2 linked regions of the Sus scrofa genome follow. The protein of the gene in region 2 interacts with the protein of the main gene of each other region in a pairwise test. Links are inferred from orthologs where the notes say so. Each region holds a gene or a part of one and is shown on either strand. Other genes may lie near its edges.

Region 1 (3,826 bases), about 76 Mb from region 2:
ATGGTTCTGTGGCATTAGATTATACTTGAGTATCTACAAGACACTTATCTTTGTAAAATGTTGATAATTTTAAAGGATTTATATTTTAATATTTTTCTGTTAACAACTTACTATAAAATTGAGTCAAACTGATATTATGTCAATAATTTTTTTTTTCAGAATAGATGATTTGGGCCTAAGTACTAATGTAAAATACTTACTGACATGAAGGAGTTATACTTTAAGTATAGTTGTTTCATTCACTACATTAAAATTTTTTATTGAATTAATTTGAATTTTACCTTTTTTTAACTTTAATTTGGAAATGACTAGCCATTTTTATAGCCCAATTTTCTTTTAAATGGTAGCTAGAAAAATAAAACAATAATTCAGAACATCAGTCAGTTGTGAATGCTGTTTAATCAAGTATTAAATATTAATTTAATCAAAAATATTTGACATGCATTTAGTAGGCACCAAAAGCATTCAAAAATCTTTGCCAGATTTTTTAAGCTAACATTAATATTGATTTTATAGATAATTGTAATGAAGTAAAGGCTAGTAAATATGTTCAAACATCAGGTAGAAAGACTTTAGAACTTGCCTAGAATTATGTAATGATTTAGATCTGTTTACTCACCTTACTCTAAAAGACCTAACATTATCCTTTCTGCTTTTTATTTTTTGGTTTCTGATTTGCTTAGGATCCTCGCCTGATTACTCCTTTGGCTTTTGCTTTAACATCAGATAATAGAGAACAAGTACAGTCTGGATTGGGAATATTATTGGAAGCTGCTCCACTGCCAGATTTTCCGGCCTTAGTGTGAGTTATAGTCAGTGGCAATGTATCTCTTGTGGTGCTGGAGTGTTTGCTGTGTTTCCCTAATAGTCTTCAGCAGAGAGAGATTGGAAAATCAGTGAATTGAAGACTTCATTGTAATAATAATTTTTCAAGTGAAAAAAAATTTCAATTTAAAAAGTTTGATTCCAACAACTCAAAAGACCACATGTAAAGTCTTTTAGGGAATAGCTAGATCCATCCAAGTGATTAAATATGTTATCCAGATGTTACACCTCTCTGTCTGAACACCTCTCTTATTGTTGTAGCTTCCAGACTAATCGTAATCCTGCCAGTTTAGTTTCTCCATAGAAAGTGCTTTTCTTTCCCAATTGTTTAAGTGATAAGTCTAGTGATAAGTCTAGCATCATTCCCATTGACCAGATCTGGGTCATTTGCCAAGGAAGGGATTCCTAAAGAAAATGTTCTTATTATCTGAAGGTGGAATAAATAATAGTCAAGCAGAATTGTCTGCTATACTCATTTTCAAACATTAAGAAAATATTTGCAGTTAGGTTTGAAAAAAATTCAGATTTGGAGCTCTCTGTAAACTGAAAGGTTGACAAAATGTCTAGTAGTGTTCCGCTCTAATTTTAATAAGATTAGGTGGTTTATATAAATGAAATTGCAAAGGTGGTTTGAATGAATTGAGACAGTTGGTAAGTCAGTAAGACATTTGTTCATGTCAGGTCAGCAAACTCTAGACAGCAGACAGGAGCTTGTTTTTGTAAATAAAATTTTATTGGAACAAAACCATACCCATTCATTTATTTTCTTTTTCTTTTTTTTGAAGGGAGTGTGAATGTGTTTTTTTAATGATTTTTATTTTCTCCATTATAGCTGGTTTACAGTGTTCTGGCAATTTCTACTGTACAGCAAAGTGACCCAGTCATACATATATATGTATTCTTTTTCTCACACTATCCCCATTTCATTTTGTCTGTATTGTGTATGTTTACATTCATGCTACAACATTAGGGCTGGTTAGTCGTAACAAAGACTATGGACCCTCAAGCCTAAAATACTTAACTGCCCTGTCCTTTAAGAAAAAGTTTGCCAATCTTTGCTACTTCTATTAACTGAGCAGACTCATTTAAGTAATCATAAATTAAGGGATGAAGAACTGTGGAAAACATGACCTAGAGACCATGAATTGCAATTCCCTTCATTTTATCATATTTTTTAACAAGCGAATGGACAAATAGTGTGTTTCTCAAAGCAAAATAGGAGTCTGTGAAGCTGTTTCATTTTGTGGTAGCTTGCTTGCATCTACTGTGGAAATCTGACATGAAGCAAAATCCCCAGGTGTCAGAGTGGAAAGCTTCAGCTTTGCTGAAGTGGGAGTCTTATCATGTGTCTCTCTGTCTTTGCCATCCCCTCCCCATCATAACTTGTGTTGTGTTATTTTCTCTTTGCACACTATCTCAGATATCCATTTATGTCTATTATGTCCATTTATGCCTCAGTTTATATTATCCTAGTTTAATAATGTGAATTTATATACTGGATGGGTGGGTAGGTAGGTGCATAGCTAGGTTTATTTTGGAGTTTGTTTTTTAAACATTTAACAAATGTTTAAATAACTGGTGAGTCCCAGCTATGTGCCAGGCTCTCTTCTAGGCATTTTGAATATTGCAGTAAATTAGACAGGCGGCCTTCTGTCATGAGATTTGCATTCTAGTTGAGAGACAGGTTTTTTAAAAAATAAGGTTTATAATGCACTTGTTACTAGGGTTGGAAGGCCCTGAGGAAGTGAATCTAAACTGAGACTTGATGATAAGGATTATGCTATGCAGATTTAGAGGGAAGAGTGTTCTAGGCAAATGAACAACTTGTACAAAGGCCCTGAGGCAGAAACAAGATGGTAAAAATGAAGGTCAGGTTGGTGAGACCATCCTGAGTGAGAAAAGAAAAGGGTGAAAGAAAAGGTCAGACCAAGTGATGTTGCCCATGGTAAGAAAGACACCAATAACTTTGTATTTAATTTTTTTATAAATAATCTACCCTCATAAACTAGTTCTAGTGCCTCCAAACCAGAGGTGGAATTGTCATTGTAAAGGGTTGTTAGTACAAAAGAGTTTCCTCTGGCAAATTTAGGATATTTCCCCAAATCCTGCTTCATCATAGATTCCAAGATTATTTCAGAAATATTTGAAGACTTATATTCCCAAAAAAGACCCATTCTAAATTATGGGTCCCATCATTAGTTAGTCCCTGTACTAACTCTGCCTTTTGCTCTATTTTTATATAATTATTTCTCTCTCTCTTTTTTTTTTGATTTTAATTCCAATTCAGACTTGGAGAAAGTATAGCAGCAAACAATGCCTATAGGCAACAGGAAACAGAACATATGCCCAGAAGAATGCCTTTGCAATCATTAAATCACAGTTTTCCAGCATCAGTAAAATGTTTAACTCCTCCAGTTTTGAAAGATAGAGTTCCTGGATTGAACATTGAGGAATTAATAGAGAAACTTCAGTCTGGAGTTGTGGTGAGTGATAGATAGCCATTATAAATGAGATTCTGCCTGGTACATACCAACTAAATATCAGCCCTTATTATAACATTTATTTAAATAAATTTAGATGCAGATTTGATCACTGAAACTTGATCTTTTAATATCAAAAGTAACAATATTCTGTAAAGTTTGAAAAGAGCAAAAAAATCTATCATAAAATTCCAACATTTTAACATAGCAATCCATCTTCCAAGCCTATGCTCCCACCACCATCGCATGGCCCCCAGCTTAAAAAATATACTTTCAAATTCCCACAGACATGTTAGATCTTACCCAAATCTTCTTGTGCAATAGCCAGGTTAGTGAGTGACCTACCTAATATGACATTCATTTTTTTTCTTTGTTACAAATTAAGTTTTAATGATTTAGTTACACAGTAGGCATTTATTTTTTGTTGTTGTTGAGTGTTAACTATTTCTGATTTTTTCCTGTATTGTGTTAAAACCCAGGTAAAGGATCAGATTAATGATGTGAGAATATCTGACATAATG
Region 2 (3,826 bases):
GGAATTCATAAAGAAACTCATACAACTCCAAACAACAAATTTTGTAGGTATGTGCTCAGTGGAATTTAGAAGACAACAGATGAAAACAGGAGAAAAACCAAGTATTAACTATACAAATACAAAAGGCACTGGAAAAATGGGGGGAAAAATGCCTAATCCTAGATTTCACAATATAAGAATCAAAATATATTTTTCAGTTTACTGATAAATTACCTCAATTTACAATTATTTTTCTGACTTTTTAAATTTAAACTCAAATCAGAAACATCTAGCGAGTTTTTTGTTTGCATGTACAATTCAGAGAACCACAAGGTGCTTATCTATTTTTAAGGAGTTAGCATTACCTAACACAAACAAATAAATAGACTCCTTTCTCATTACCCTGTGCAGCAATTTCTGAATCATGTAAAGGCTCCTGGAAAGGAGAATCCTCCAGTTTTTTAACGTCAACCTGAAGCTCAGAGTATTGTGTGGGACAGCTAGGCCACTGCAAATTGCTGGCAAGTCTTGCTCTCTCTTCCCTGGCTGTAGGGTCATCCCAAATGATCTGTTCATTTTGGGAGGGCTCAGTGTTGATATCAGGTACTGTTTGACGAGACTGCCTAAGGAATAAAAGTGAAAATTTAATAAACAGATAGCCATAACAAAATCCGCTCATAAATTCCCTAAGTTAGATTGTAAATTGGTAGCTCACCTTTATATGTCCATCATCTAACACACAGTAAACATTTGAAAATACTTATGAAACACATTATTTGGACTGAACATGCATACACTTAAAAGTGTTAAAGAAAGGTGAAAAAAATTCTAAAATGATTGCTGCATTTAAAAAAAGGATTTCTGGGAGTTGCCGTTGTGGCTCAGTGGTTAACGAATCCGACTAGGAACCATGAGGTTTCGGGTTCGATCCCTGCCCTCGCTCAGTGGGTTGGTAATCTGGCGTTGCCATGAGCTGTGGCATAGGTGGCAGACTCAGCTCAGATCACAGGTTGCTATGGTTCTGGTGTAGGCCGGCGGCTACAGCTCCAATTAGACCCCTGGCCTGGGAACCTCCACATGTCGAGGGTGCGGCCCTTAAAAAAAAGGCAAAAAAGACAAAAAAAAAAAAAAAGGGATTTCTCGGAGTTCCCATTGTGGCTCAGCGGTAACCAATCTGACTAGTATCCATGAGGATGTGGGTTCAATCCCTGGTCTTGCTCAGTGGGTAAAGGATCTGGTGTTGCTGTGAGCTGTGGTGTAGGTCACAGACGAGGCTCTGAGCTGGTGTGGCTGTGGCTGTGGTGTAGGCTGGCAGCTGTAGATCTGATTTGACCCCAAGCCTGGGAATTTCCATATGCCACGGGTGCAGCCCTAAAAAGCAAAAAGATTTCTCTTGATTATATAGCCTTGGGGAAACATGGTAATATTTAGAAACCTCATCACTTTACTTACCAGTTAATATTTGTATTCTTTTTTTGGCCATGCCTGAGGCATATGGATGTTCCCCAGTCAGGGATCAAACCTGTGCCATGGCAGTAATCAGAGCCATAGCAGTGATCCTTAACCCAATGGAACTCCCAGTAGTTGTATTTTTATCACTTGAAATAATTAAGAAATATAATTACATGGGAAGCACAGTGTTTATAGGCTGCCTTAAAAAAAAAACCACGTCCTTTTGGCTACTGGTAACCAAACCTCCCAGAACCTAAGGTAGACCAGCTATACAGTGGACTAGAGTGAAGTGTATTTTATGGTGTCACGTAACAATTCCACTGGAAAGGTGACAGAATTCCAACTATTTTCCCTCAATGTGTATATACTGAATATTCCCATGTATAAACATATATGGAATCTTAGAAAAATAATTCGCCAAAGCTGATGGCACTCCCAAAGAGTTCATTTGCCTCAAATACCAGGAAGATGGCTCTTTATTCTCAGAGTATATTTATTTATTCAGACTTGACAAAAAAATCTAGGCTCTCTCTGATAAAAAAGACCTGAAGTATATTAAACAGAGAACCATTTTTGCTGAGTACTCAGATAAAGAAATAGCCTCATGAAATACAAGTTAATGTAAGATAAATGCATAGTTCAGCTAATCAAGATATGAGTACCATAACACTCATCATACAATTAGAGATTTTTCTATCAAGGAAAAGATGAAAAAGATGAATTCATGTTATGGAACTTAAGTCACATCACACTAAGATCTGTAATCACCTTCCCTAGAAGATATGTTTATAAAGAAGATTTATAAAGACATTTACAAAGATGCATGTAGTTCCAATAAGAAATCACTGCTTAAATACATACATATATATGTACTTACTGTTAAAAATTAAAATTACTTAACTCCAAAACTAACAGGACTGTCCATTGAATCCAATTCAAACAAGACAAACTAGATCTTAAAATCACTTCTTTCTCAGAGGAGGTAATAAAATGCATTAATCATGCCTTATTGGAAGCAGGTGCTTGATATGGAACAAACCTCTGCTTCCTGTTCTCCAGTAAGAATGCTAGAACTGCTCGGAACAAGGGAAGGAAGGAGGAAAAGCTAGGAAGGCCAGGAGGAAAGAAAAGCTATTCTGCCATCAGTGACAGGTACGGACCTCAGTGCCTCTAGGACTCTACTTCGTCCGCTGCGGGCAGAGCGAGTGCTGTCAGGGGTTGAAGAGGCACTGTTACAACCACTTCTTGAAAGGGAATTCCTCTGCCCCTGGGGTTTCACTATTGAAGTTGCAGACATTATCTCCTGCAGCTGCTTTTGAAAGTTTTCTCTCATCTCCAAGGTCTGTGTCAGAGCTTGAAACAAACATAAGTACACCAATAAAGTTAAGTTTCTCCTTTTTTTAATCTACCCTATTCACAGTAATTATTTCATCTAGATTTGGTTGAACATAAATTTATTAACTTGACATTTACCAAATACTTACTACAGGCTACGGTAATATACTAAGACTATGAATCCTGCAGAACATAACAGCAGCCCTTACTGTGAGGACTGTATAGAAAGTAATCAGCAAGCCCTTTGCAAACACCTTGCTAAGATCTGCAGCCCTCACCCTTTTGTAGAGTTTCGTGCCTCCTTCTGACCCTTCAGGCTCTTAAGTCCGACAGTCACTTGTGATTGATGATTTTCCCCTATGATCCTTGAAAACACAGACCACAACGTATTTATCTTTGGTTTCATTGTAGACTAAACACTTAAGTAGGGGGGGTTCCCGTCGTGGCGCAGTGGTTAACAAATCCGACTAGGAACCATGAGGTTGAGGGTTTGATCCCTGGCCTTGCTCAGTACGTTAAGGATCTGGTGTTGCTGTGAGCTGTGGTGTAGGTCTCAGAAGCGGCTTGGATCTGGTGTTGCTGTGGCTCTGGCATCGGCCGGCGGCTACAGCTCCAATTCGACCCCTAGCCTGGGAACCTCCATATGCCGAGGGAGCAGCCCTAGAAAAGGCAGAAAGACAAAAAAAAAAAAAAAAAAAAGACAAAAAAAAAAAACAAAAAAAACACACACACACAAAAGTAGGTACTAAATATACACTTTTCTAATGGACAGAGTGGGACTAAGTAAACAGGTAAATCATAGACAGGAAAAGCTCTGGAAGAGTAGAATAAAGAAAACAGAGGAGTTCCCGTCGTGGCGCAGTGGTTAGCGAATCCAACTAGGAACCGTGAGGTTGCGGGTTCGGTCCCTGCCCTTGCTCAGTGGGTTAATGATCCGGCGTTGCCGTGAGCTGTGGTGTAGGTTGCAGACGCGGCTCGGATCCTGCGTTGCTGTGGCTCTGGTGTAGGCTGGTGGCTACAGCTCCGATTCGACTCCTAGCCTGGGAACCTCCATATGCCG

Evidence for each region.
Region 1: the proteins of TOPBP1 (region 2) and KIAA1524 interact in a two-hybrid assay, tested with the Homo sapiens proteins (2 studies listed by BioGRID). The link is inferred for Sus scrofa from reciprocal best matches to the Homo sapiens genes TOPBP1 and CIP2A.

Annotation. Positions count from the first base shown.
Region 1 is NC_010455.5:150,950,926-150,954,751, forward strand, and holds part of KIAA1524 (protein CIP2A), read left to right. Parts: intron 1-683; coding exon 684-802; intron 803-3,112; coding exon 3,113-3,308; intron 3,309-3,784; coding exon 3,785-3,826.
Region 2 is NC_010455.5:74,790,702-74,794,527, forward strand, and holds part of TOPBP1 (DNA topoisomerase 2-binding protein 1), read right to left. Parts: intron 2,785-3,826; coding exon 2,592-2,784; intron 603-2,591; coding exon 382-602; intron 1-381. UniProt on the Homo sapiens protein: Scaffold protein that acts as a key protein-protein adapter in DNA replication and DNA repair. Composed of multiple BRCT domains, which specifically recognize and bind phosphorylated proteins, bringing proteins together into functional combinations.